Saccharomyces cerevisiae S288C: one gene and its partners. The gene in region 3 interacts genetically with the main gene of each other region. Each region holds a gene or a part of one and is shown on either strand. Other genes may lie near its edges.

Region 1 (4,669 bases), on a different chromosome or scaffold from region 3:
AGGGAAATGGATCCCGAATATAACAAGCAAGCCTTAGAGAAAGCCGCTAAGAAAAGAAAATTTTCCTCAAATGGTATCTACAATGGCACTTCGTCTACGGGTGGCATAACGGACAGAAAACTATATCCATTGCCACTATATAACCATATCTCCAGAGATGACTTTGAAACTGTAACAAAAACAACACCAAGTGGAACCACTGTTACCACTTTAGTTCCTACTAAGAATGCCTTAAAGCAGGCAGAAAAGCTAGCCAAGACAAATAACGGAGATTCTGACGGTTCTATAATGGAGATTAACGGGATACCTCTTTCCATGCTCGGGGAAACAGGCAGCGTAAAATTTCAAAGTTTATTCGCTAATACCTCGAATAGTAACGATTATAATAATAATAGGACGTTATTGGATGCGTCTAATGACATATCAATTCCCTCTAATTCAATTTATCCAGTGGCTTCTGTCCCCGCTTCGAATAACAATCCACAAAGTACTAAGGTAGACTATTATAGTAACGGACCTAGTGTAATTCCTGATCTCTCCATGAAAAGATCAGTAAGCACTCCCGTTAATCATTTTCCTGCGTCCGTTCCAGGGTTAAGGAACCACCCCGTTGGCAACTTATCTAATAATGTTACATTGGGAATAGACCACCCTATTCCAAGGGAGCACAGTAATTTACAAAATGTCACCATGAATTATAATAATCAATTCAGCAACGCCAACGCGATTGGAAGATCACAAAGTAGTATGTCCCATTCACGTACACCGATTGCTTCGAAGTCAAATAATATGACAGATTTGCATTCCGTCGTTTCCGACCCCGGCTCCTCTAAAAGCACGGCATATCCACCTCTGAGCTTGTTTTCCAAAAGTAATGATATCAATAGCAACAAAACGAACCAACGATTTTCTACGGGCACTAACACTGTAACTTCTTCTAACTTCCAAACCATCGATAATGAAAACAACGTGAAGACTCCTGGAAACAAACTAACGGATTTTTTTCAGCAACAAAGTGCAGGCTGGATTGAAGGCAACTCCAGTAATGATGACTTTTTTGGTTGGTTCGATATGAACATGGAACAAGGTTTTTAACGCCTATATTCTTCTAATATTCTAAGAAATATTATTACCCTTGTTTTCTGCTAATTTATTAAAGAAAATTTGCAAAGACGGCTACATAGGACTTCGAGTCCTTTTATTTATACATATTCTTTTTCGGATTATTTCCAATGTAACAATATTCAAGAATGGATCAACTTAAGGATTATTTATCAGTTTGTTATCACGACCTCCCTCCTTTGTAAAATGATGACCACACCAAAGTAGAATATTTATTCACTACCTATTTATTTTATTCTTATTAATATTTTATATATCATGCATTTATCCGTGTGCATTTACCAAAATTCATGAGTAACGATAACGCTTCTTATAGGTATCTATCTATTCCCATTCCGGTAACTTTTTTTTTTTCTCCAACGCTCAGTCCTTGCTTCTTTATCCCTATTCGTTTGGAGACGGTCGTCAATTTTAGCGGAAGGCTGAAAAATACATCGATCCGAAAGTGTTGAACATAGAGATGAGGCAAGATAACTATAAAGATAAAGAACCCAAAGAACGTAATTGAACTATTGTGTGAAAGAAGGTCGACAACAGCAAAGGAATCAATAGAGTTTTTCTTTGGTTTTCAAATTGATTTTTTTTCACCTGTTCATTTTTTTTTTTTCCATTTGGATAATATTATTATTGCCTATACCAGATCTTACCCTTTGACTGTTCAACTCATCAAGCTTTATTTGTTGAAGGGGCCAAATTCGGCTTTAGTAAGGATCCAGTACTTTCATTAACATACTAAACCCACGCAAGAAGGGCGCAATCATGATCAGAAGATGGCTAACTATAAGTAAGTCTGGGAAGAAGAAAAAGGCTGTTAATGATACCATTACAGAAGAAGTAGAAAAGGTTGACTTTAAGCCTGTAAACCACGATATAAATGATGAACTCTGTTATAGCGAATCATCCGATAATCCCTCTAGCTCATTGTTTGTCTCTAATTTGGATACCAAGGAAACTTTTTTGAATGAAGACAATAATTTGCAGATTTCTTCCGGACTAGACTATTCTTCTGAAACGTGCAATCAAGGCAGTAATTACAGCCAGGATGGGATATTTTATATTTCAAACGCAAAGGCTATAAACGCATACGGAGGCATTATCACGCAAGGGCCCGAGGCACCCATATTAGCTATGAAGGTGTCCGACTCAATGCCCTATGGAGACGGCTCCAACAAAGTTTTTGGATACGAAAATTTTGGCAATACATGTTACTGTAACTCAGTTCTTCAATGTCTCTATAATCTGTCCTCATTACGTGAAAATATATTGCAATTTCCAAAAAAATCAAGAGAATCTGATCAACCAAGAAAGAAAGAAATGAGAGGTAAGAAACCAAGAATATTTACCGAAGCAAGTTTTGAGAAAAGCATTGCTGGTACCAATGGACATTTGCCTAACCCTAAACCTCAATCTGTTGATGATGGAAAGCCTACCCCTGTAAATTCTGTAAATTCAAATACAGCTGGGCCTTCAGAGAAGAAGAGTAAATTTTTTAAAAGTTTTAGCGCGAAACATGTACAAGACAATAATAAAAAGGAAGGAAGTCCTGCTATATTAACCACTGGAAAACCCTCTTCTCGTCCTCAAGACGCACCTCCATTGATAGTCGAAACACCTAATGAGCCTGGTGCTCCGAGCAGATTGAGTTTCGAGAACGTCACAGATAGACCTCCGGATGTTCCGCGTAAAATAATTGTTGGCAGAGTTCTCAATTATGAAAATCCTTCAAGAGGTAGCAGTAATAGTAATAACCTGGACTTGAAAGGAGAAAGTAATAGCAGCTTATCCACTCCACTTGATAAAAAAGATACTAGAAGATCTAGTTCCTCTTCTCAAATATCCCCAGAACATAGAAAGAAATCCGCACTTATTCGTGGGCCAGTGCTCAATATTGACCATAGCTTAAACGGCTCAGATAAGGCTACTTTGTATTCCAGTTTGAGAGATATCTTTGAATGCATAACTGAGAATACGTATTTAACTGGTGTTGTATCGCCTAGCTCTTTTGTTGATGTTCTCAAAAGAGAAAATGTATTATTTAATACTACTATGCATCAGGATGCTCACGAATTTTTCAATTTCTTATTAAACGAGTTGAGTGAATATATAGAACGTGAGAATAAAAAAATAGCAGCCAGTGATATCAACAGCGATAGCGAACCGAGTAAGAGTAAAAATTTCATCAGTGACTTGTTTCAAGGCACTTTAACGAATCAAATAAAATGTCTGACGTGCGATAACATTACATCTAGGGATGAGCCATTTTTGGATTTCCCCATAGAAGTTCAGGGAGATGAGGAAACAGATATACAGGAAATTTTGAAAAGTTATCACCAGCGAGAAATGCTAAATGGCTCAAACAAGTTTTATTGTGACGAATGTTGCGGTTTACAGGAGGCAGAGAGATTAGTTGGTTTGAAGCAATTGCCTGATACTTTAACATTACACTTGAAAAGATTCAAGTATTCTGAGAAACAAAACTGTAATATTAAGCTTTTTAATAACATTCACTATCCTCTGACGCTAAATGTTTGCTCTTCAATAAATTCTAAGGTTTGTCAAAAGTATGAATTGGCTGGGATTGTCGTTCATATGGGCGGTGGGCCACAACACGGCCATTATGTTTCCCTATGTAAACATGAAAAGTTTGGCTGGTTGTTATTTGATGACGAAACGGTAGAGGCAGTTAAAGAGGAAACAGTGTTAGAATTCACAGGTGAATCTCCAAATATGGCAACAGCATATGTTTTGTTTTATAAAGCGATGTATTCAAACGCTGTTGAAAAGAATGATCGTGAAAATATGGCAAAAGAACAAGATGATAATATAGACAATCTAATCAAGTACGATGATTGGCTAAGAACTTGCAATAGTGGTCAAAAGAAAAAGGAAGAGCTGCCTATAGCAGACGATTTGGATACTGCTATAGACGACAGCTTTGTTTCTAACACACCCATAAAGTCTTCTAAAAAAAAGTCGAGAATGTTTAGTTTTAGGAAAAGCTGAAAAATATTTGCATATCAAGGAAGGTAAAGGTTCACCGTCTCCTTTAAAACTATTTTTTCTCTGACAGTATTAATTTAATTCTTACATAAATATAATATCTTTAATCTTCTTTTTTTAAACCGGCTCCGGAACCTTTTTCTTAAATTTATAGTTTTGTCTCAGTAAAAGGTTTTCTTTTAAACTAATACAATTATGAAGTATTTAGGCATGCAAGCAATCAGGAATCTAAGAATAAAAAATTGTCCTATACTGGAGCATGGGTGAACAAATATGACACGGATTCACCATTGTGTAGTCTTCTTATAGCTTCAGCGAACGTGGGACTAATATCGATCTGGTCAGCAATAGGTAAATCCAAATCTACCGGAACGGTATTTGTGCAAACAATTCTAGACAATCTACTATTTCTTAGCTTTTCTCTTGCTGAACCGGAGAAAATACCGTGTGTAACAATAGCTATAACTTCTTTGGCACCATGCTCCATCAACGTATCACAAGCTTTTACCAACGTACCACAAGTATCCGCCATATCATCAACTAATAA
Region 2 (3,881 bases), on a different chromosome or scaffold from region 3:
AGCGTACCACTTTTATATTCTCAAGGGAGTGAAATCTTTGAGGTGGATTGTATAGTGCCACTCGGACTTCATTACAAAAAACCTGAAAGCATTTCAGAACCGTTAGTACAACCGGATTATACCATGGAATCTCAAAAGGTGGAGCAGACTGTTTTGATTCCAAAATGGGAATTTAAAGGTGAAACGATTGCAAAGATGATTTACGTGGATAACAGCGAAATAAATGTAAAGGTGATAGCCCTTTCTACCAATGGTTCTTTGGCATGGTTCAGAGAAGGTGTCAAATCGCCCGTTTACACAATGATGGAGCCATCCACTTCTCTAAGTTCAGCATCGTCCGGAAATCAAAATAAACCCTGTGTTGATTTTGCAATTTCTAACGATTCAAAAACCTTAACAGTAACTAAGGAAAAACATCTTGATAATGAAAACGCTACAATAAAATTGATAGACAACTCAGGTAAAATAGGAGAAGTGCTTCGTACAATACCTGTTCCTGGCATAAAGAATATTCAAGAAATCAAGTTTTTGAATAATCAAATATTCGCCACTTGTTCTGATGACGGTATCATAAGGTTTTGGGGTAATGAGATAGGCAAAAAGCCCCTTTGGATTCTAAACGATTCTTTGGACGGCAAAACAACTTGTTTTGCTGCATCACCGTTTGTTGATACATTATTTATGACGGGAACTAGTGGTGGGGCTCTCAAGGTTTGGGATATACGTGCAGTTATCGCTTTAGGGGATGCTGATGCTGAGTTAAATATCAACCAAGGACATAATAAAGTCAATGAACTATTCAAAGTTCATCACTTTTATAGCGAGCAAGTGTCCAAAATAGAGTTTTCTTCCATTTCGCCTATGGAAGTGGTTACAATTGGAGGGTTAGGTAATGTTTACCACTGGAATTTCGAACCTGTTTTTGCCATTTATAACGAGATACATGAGGACTTTCAAGGCATAATATCTGACGAATTGGAGGCCGAAAGCATGGCATTTTATCACACTGAGGGCTGCAGAAGAGAAATAGGAGAAAATAATAAGGTTAATACCGTTGCTTATCACAAATACATTGAGGATCTAGTTGCTACAGTTGATAGTGACGGGTTGTTAACTGTATATAAGCCGTTTACTGGAAAAGTTTTAGATGGCAGTAGAGAGGTTGGAGCTGCCAAAAGTTAATTTTTATATTATTTAGGCTGTTTGAGTTTGGGGCGGAAATGTATGAATAAATTGTGTAATATTTAGTCTTTACTTCAGCTTTTGTTTTTCTAAAAATTTGTTTTTAATGTTTTATTGTCTGAAGTAAACATTAATTATTAGCTTGAGAATTGCTCTACATGTATATATAAACGGCAAGGATCTACTCTTTAATATAGAGAAATGTACATACCTTTGAAAACGCGTTTTCAGAGTTTAGAATGTATAAGGTAACCTTAGAACCACATCTCTTATTGCCAGACTCTCAAAGGTGAACTGATATTGAGCCTATTTTACCCTTGTTTATGTTCACTTTCTCAATGCGAAAAAAAATCAAAAAGAAATAAACTTTATCCTTAGAGTTGAAGAATTAGAAAGAGAATAAATCAAAGGGATCAGTTGGGAAAGCTCAATACTTTCCGCTTAATTTTACTGAAAACCTCATCAAACACGTAGGCACATATATATTCATATATTTATATGTTGGCTACCTTCTAATTTGCATGAAATTCGTTCGCTCAAAAAATTAGACATTTTACTAGTAGCAAGTATTACCTGATTAGCATAGCAGGCACTGTTATCATATCTACAAAATACCAATTATATACACAGGATAATGGCTTCAATGTTCAGACCACCAGAATCCAATAGGAGTCACCAAAAGACTCCAAAATTAACGCTTCCAGTAAATTTAGTTCAAAATGCGAAATCCACTAATGATGGGCAACATCTCAACCGGTCACCGTACTCGTCAGTGAACGAAAGCCCATACTCCAACAATAGCACTTCAGCTACTTCCACTACGTCATCCATGGCTTCAAATTCCACTTTGTTGTACAATAGATCATCTACTACAACTATTAAAAATAGACCGGTACCACCTCCATTACCTCCCCTAGTACTAACGCAAAAAAAAGACGGTATAGAATATAGAGTTGCCGGCGATAGTCAGCTTTCTGAAAGATTTTCTAATTTGCATGTTGATATAACTTACAAGGAACTACTATCTAGTGCTCCAATTTCCACTAAGTTATCCAACATAGATACCACTTTTATCAAGAAAGATCTCGACACACCAGAAGGCGAGGATTCATACCCCTCGACACTTCTTTCTGCGTACGACTTCAGCAGTAGCGGGAGCAACTCCGCCCCTTTAAGTGCAAATAACATAATTTCTTGTTCCAACTTAATACAAGGAAAAGACGTAGACCAGTTAGAGGAAGAAGCATGGAGGTTTGGGCATCTCAAGGATGAGATTACTACACTAGGAATTCTAGGAGAAGGCGCGGGTGGTTCTGTAGCCAAGTGCCGATTAAAAAATGGAAAAAAGGTTTTTGCGTTGAAGACAATCAACACTATGAATACTGACCCAGAATATCAAAAGCAAATATTCAGAGAGCTACAATTTAATAAGAGTTTTAAGTCCGATTATATTGTGCAGTACTATGGTATGTTTACCGACGAACAGAGTTCTTCAATATACATTGCCATGGAATATATGGGAGGAAAATCACTGGAGGCAACGTATAAAAATTTGTTGAAACGTGGCGGTAGAATAAGTGAGAGGGTGATAGGAAAGATAGCAGAATCTGTCTTAAGAGGTTTATCATACTTACACGAAAGGAAAGTCATCCACAGGGACATTAAACCCCAAAACATTCTTCTTAATGAAAAAGGGGAAATCAAATTATGCGATTTCGGTGTCAGTGGGGAGGCTGTTAACTCTTTAGCGATGACATTTACTGGAACGTCATTTTATATGGCCCCAGAACGAATACAAGGCCAACCATACAGCGTAACCTGTGATGTATGGTCCTTAGGATTAACTCTTCTGGAGGTTGCTGGAGGGAGATTTCCATTTGAATCTGACAAAATAACGCAAAACGTGGCTCCTATAGAATTATTGACGATGATCCTGACGTTTTCTCCCCAGTTGAAAGATGAGCCAGAACTAGACATATCCTGGAGCAAGACATTTAGATCTTTTATCGACTATTGTTTAAAAAAAGATGCCAGAGAGAGGCCTTCTCCCAGGCAAATGTTAAAGCATCCCTGGATTGTAGGGCAAATGAAAAAAAAAGTCAACATGGAACGGTTTGTAAAGAAATGCTGGGAAAAGGAAAAGGATGGGATATAAACTTCCAACATTTTCCTCTCGTAACCAGAACTGACTTTTTCTACAACAGGAATTCTTTAACGAGACTTCTCCTCCTTCACCATTCATAAGTTTAACGATGTTCTTTTATTATCTAGACACTCCGAAATATTCTTAACATATACGTATATAGTTTACTGAAAACCGAACTAGCCATGGGCTATGAAAGTTCTCCTATTTCCTTACTTACATCAAATAGAAATGCGCATCCAAGTCTTTCTGGCAGGCACGCTATGATGTGCTAAATTATGACTCAAGTGAGTACTAGGCGCTTTTGTACTCAGCCGCGCGGGGAAAATTTCTTCCCTCCCTACCAAAGAGGAAAAAATCATATGGCGTCATATTATCCTATATACAACGGTCGAACAAAAATCTGCTCGACTCAGAAAAATAAAAGGGTTTTAACATACTTATTGCTTACTTAAGTTACCACTTCAGTAACTGGAGCTATAAATACAATAAGCGTTTTGTACGTAGAAAATATCCTCTATATTGCCTGATTTTCTTTAGTTCCGACAAGGGCTCC
Region 3 (3,639 bases):
CTAGATTCTGCCCAGCCCTCAACTTCACGCCCACGTTGAGAGTACATTCAGTACGTTGAAAATACATTCAGTCACACCCGCAGCACAGCAAGTCGTTTCATCTAAGCTATTTTGATCGTTAGAATATCCACACCTCACAAGTATCGACAATTTAGATGTGTATTGGGTTTTGTCTACGCAAATACCATTAGTTTCACACAAGATGCCATCAGCGCTACTGTAAATAGATTGTTCCTCTGTTATCGTGCGAATGGAACTAGAAAACCAATAATCATTGAATAATATATGTGACAGTGACAGGCCACCAGAATAAAGCTAATATCTAGAGGGGTATTTCTTCTTGAGTGAAGAAGAAATATGCTACTTCCAAATTTTAGGACGACAAATCCTCATAATATGAATTAGGCAAATTACAGAATGAAGGGGGTTGAGAAGTCCCACAGCACATCGCTCCTTCGCTAAGAGCTCCACTGCTAAAACAGAAAAAAAAAGTATTAATCAATTGTACTACCATGTTCTTTGTTACTAAACGCGCCTATTTTTTTCGAGAGCCTTTACGAGAGTCAATCAAGCATTCTCCCGCATACTTCGCTAAGAAAAAAGTGATCTTTAATTGGGCCCTTCATCTATCATTTTTGCTTAAGTGGCGTAACTTATTTTATCATTTCCTCTCCCTGCCATCCTCTTTATTTTTGTTCTGTATCACAGCAGTTAATTCAGTTTCCATTCAAAGTATGCCACGGATAACTTGATGCTTCAAGAAGAAAAATTATTTGGCCTAAAACTTGCTGTTTCTTCACAATTTTTCTAAATGCTCTCCGATTCCCGGATTGCAGATGTTTCACTGCTCCACATTATATCCTTTGTGTCCACCTTGATAATCGATACTTTAAAGATTATTTTGTGGGAGGAGAGCCTTAGAAAGAATACGCTTGTTTTAAGAAGGAAAACAAGCGGCACCAATCTTCAATTGGTATTTTAAAATCTATTAGACGTCAAATCCCGGTTAGACTTGAGATAGATGTACCTGGAGAGAAAATCTATAATAAAAAAAAAAATACTTTCAGGTCAGATATTTCTTTTTTTGTCCCTAATAAAAAGAAATGGTATTCTGCCAAACACCAAAGTGCCAAATAAGCATTATTTTACATAGTACGAAATGGAAATTACGTCAATTATCGACATTATGACATAAAATTGGATTTAACAAGATCTCTGAATCTGATATGCTTCTTTCATTAGGGTGGAAATAACAGCATTTGAGAGAAGCAATTGCCAAGCTTCTATGAAAATTTTCTAGAAGGCAAGAGTATTTCAGACTTTCCTAATATGAAAGGACAAATTGACACTAATGTCTGATTATGGCCAATTCCTGCGGTAAATTACACGGCGATTACGGCGACATGAGCTCACATTCATCACTCTATGGGACAAATGTTTCCAAACTGGGCGCAACAAACACCTGATGTGACTCCTACCCTTTGGACAATGCAGATCCACGCTACGGCAAATTAGTCAAATGCACTAGAACATGGCGCAAGTACTTATTGTGACCTTTGGGGTACCGTTACCGTCAGTTTTCTTCAGCTAAGGCGCGCGCGCCAGATAACTAAAAAAAAATATAGTTGCTGCTTAAAAAACAATACACCCGTACTCTCTTGCCTGTAAAAACCTCGAAGGACCAAAGATACCCTCAAGGTTCTCATCTGTGCGGTATTCTTCAAATTACAATGACATTTCCCAAAATTATCAGATGTGCTCAGGTATCTTCTCTCCAATGAGATGAGACAGATGAACATATTTGACCTTGAAGGTCATGGAAAGTAGGTTGAGAGCAAATGTGTAGAACGAAATTAAGAAAAAAAGAAATTACGCACGGCATTAGCTCGATGACTTAGTTATAAATAGAGGCCTGGTATCGGCTGTCATGATCTCATCTCTTCCCTATTTACAAAAAAACTGCAAGTATAGACAATAAAACAACAGCACAAATATCAAAAAAGGAATTATGAGCAACGTTACTACGCCGTGGTGGAAACAATGGGACCCTTCTGAAGTTACACTTGCCGATAAAACCCCTGATGATGTGTGGAAGACCTGTGTTTTGCAAGGTGTTTACTTTGGTGGAAACGAGTACAATGGTAACTTAGGTGCCAGAATATCTTCCGTCTTTGTTATTCTTTTCGTGAGTACTTTTTTCACCATGTTCCCATTAATCTCAACAAAAGTGAAAAGATTGAGAATTCCTCTATATGTTTACCTTTTCGCAAAGTATTTTGGTTCCGGTGTTATTGTTGCAACCGCATTTATCCACTTAATGGACCCTGCTTATGGTGCGATTGGTGGTACCACTTGTGTAGGACAAACCGGTAACTGGGGTCTTTATTCATGGTGTCCTGCCATTATGCTAACGAGTTTGACCTTCACTTTCCTTACTGATCTATTCAGTAGCGTCTGGGTTGAAAGAAAGTATGGTCTTTCCCATGACCATACCCACGATGAAATTAAAGACACTGTTGTGAGAAACACTGCAGCTGTTTCAAGTGAGAATGACAATGAGAATGGTACTGCAAATGGATCTCATGACACCAAGAACGGAGTAGAGTATTATGAAGATTCAGACGCTACATCCATGGATGTTGTTCAATCATTTCAAGCACAATTTTATGCCTTTTTAATTTTAGAATTCGGTGTGATTTTCCACTCCGTTATGATCGGTCTAAACCTGGGAAGTGTTGGTGATGAGTTCTCCTCCCTATACCCTGTCTTAGTGTTCCATCAATCATTTGAAGGTTTAGGTATTGGTGCAAGATTGTCAGCCATTGAATTCCCTAGATCAAAGAGATGGTGGCCATGGGCCCTATGTGTTGCGTATGGGTTAACCACACCAATCTGTGTGGCCATCGGTTTGGGTGTTCGTACCAGATACGTCAGCGGTTCTTACACTGCGCTTGTTATCTCTGGTGTTTTGGATGCCATTTCTGCTGGTATCTTATTGTACACTGGTTTGGTTGAACTACTAGCAAGAGACTTTATATTCAATCCTCAAAGAACAAAGGATCTAAGAGAATTGTCCTTCAACGTTATATGCACTCTTTTCGGTGCTGGTATCATGGCTTTGATCGGTAAGTGGGCTTAAACCAAAGCGAAATTCTGCATGTTCCATATAGATTCTATTTCATATTTTATAGTTATTTATTCTTTAGTAATAGCAAAAAAACAGTAATAATTTTTCTTTAACAGTCTCGGACAATAAATACGCTAAAGAAGATGAAAATGACAACTTTTACGCTGGTGTGCACAAGTGGTACCAGAATACGTGGCCACCAAAACAATGACGGATATAGGGAGAACCAAGTCTAGAAATTACAAATGTTCTTTTGACGGTTGTGAGAAAGTCTACAACAGACCTAGTTTGCTTCAGCAACACCAAAATTCGCATACCAATCAAAAGCCGTATCATTGTGATGAGCCGGGATGTGGCAAAAAATTTATAAGACCGTGCCATCTACGAGTTCACAAATGGACTCATTCACAAATCAAGCCCAAAGCGTGCACATTATGTCAAAAAAGATTTGTCACAAATCAGCAATTAAGAAGGCATTTAAATAGTCATGAAAGAAAAAGCAAGCTTGCATC

What was found. A genetic interaction does not mean that the proteins touch.
Region 1: mutations in ZRT1 (region 3) and UBP13 together harm fitness more than expected from each alone (negative genetic interaction), as found in Saccharomyces cerevisiae (2 studies listed by BioGRID).
Region 2: mutations in ZRT1 (region 3) and MKK2 together harm fitness more than expected from each alone (negative genetic interaction), as found in Saccharomyces cerevisiae (2 studies listed by BioGRID).

The regions. Positions count from the first base shown.
Region 1 is NC_001134.8:93,095-97,763, reverse strand, and holds UBP13 (ubiquitin-specific protease UBP13), read left to right. Parts: upstream 1-1,881; coding exon 1,882-4,125; downstream 4,126-4,669. Other genes in the region: SEF1 (Sef1p), read left to right, coding at 1-1,095; ribose phosphate diphosphokinase subunit PRS4, read right to left, coding at 4,370-4,669.
Region 2 is NC_001148.4:286,970-290,850, reverse strand, and holds MKK2 (putative mitogen-activated protein kinase kinase MKK2), read left to right. Parts: upstream 1-1,816; coding exon 1,817-3,337; downstream 3,338-3,881. Other genes in the region: UME1 (Ume1p), read left to right, coding at 1-1,182. UniProt on the Saccharomyces cerevisiae protein: Serine/threonine protein kinase involved in a signal transduction pathway that plays a role in yeast cell morphogenesis and cell growth.
Region 3 is NC_001139.9:18,970-22,608, forward strand, and holds ZRT1 (high-affinity Zn(2+) transporter ZRT1), read left to right. Parts: upstream 1-2,008; coding exon 2,009-3,139; downstream 3,140-3,639. Other genes in the region: FZF1 (Fzf1p), read left to right, coding at 3,335-3,639. UniProt on the Saccharomyces cerevisiae protein: High-affinity zinc transport protein.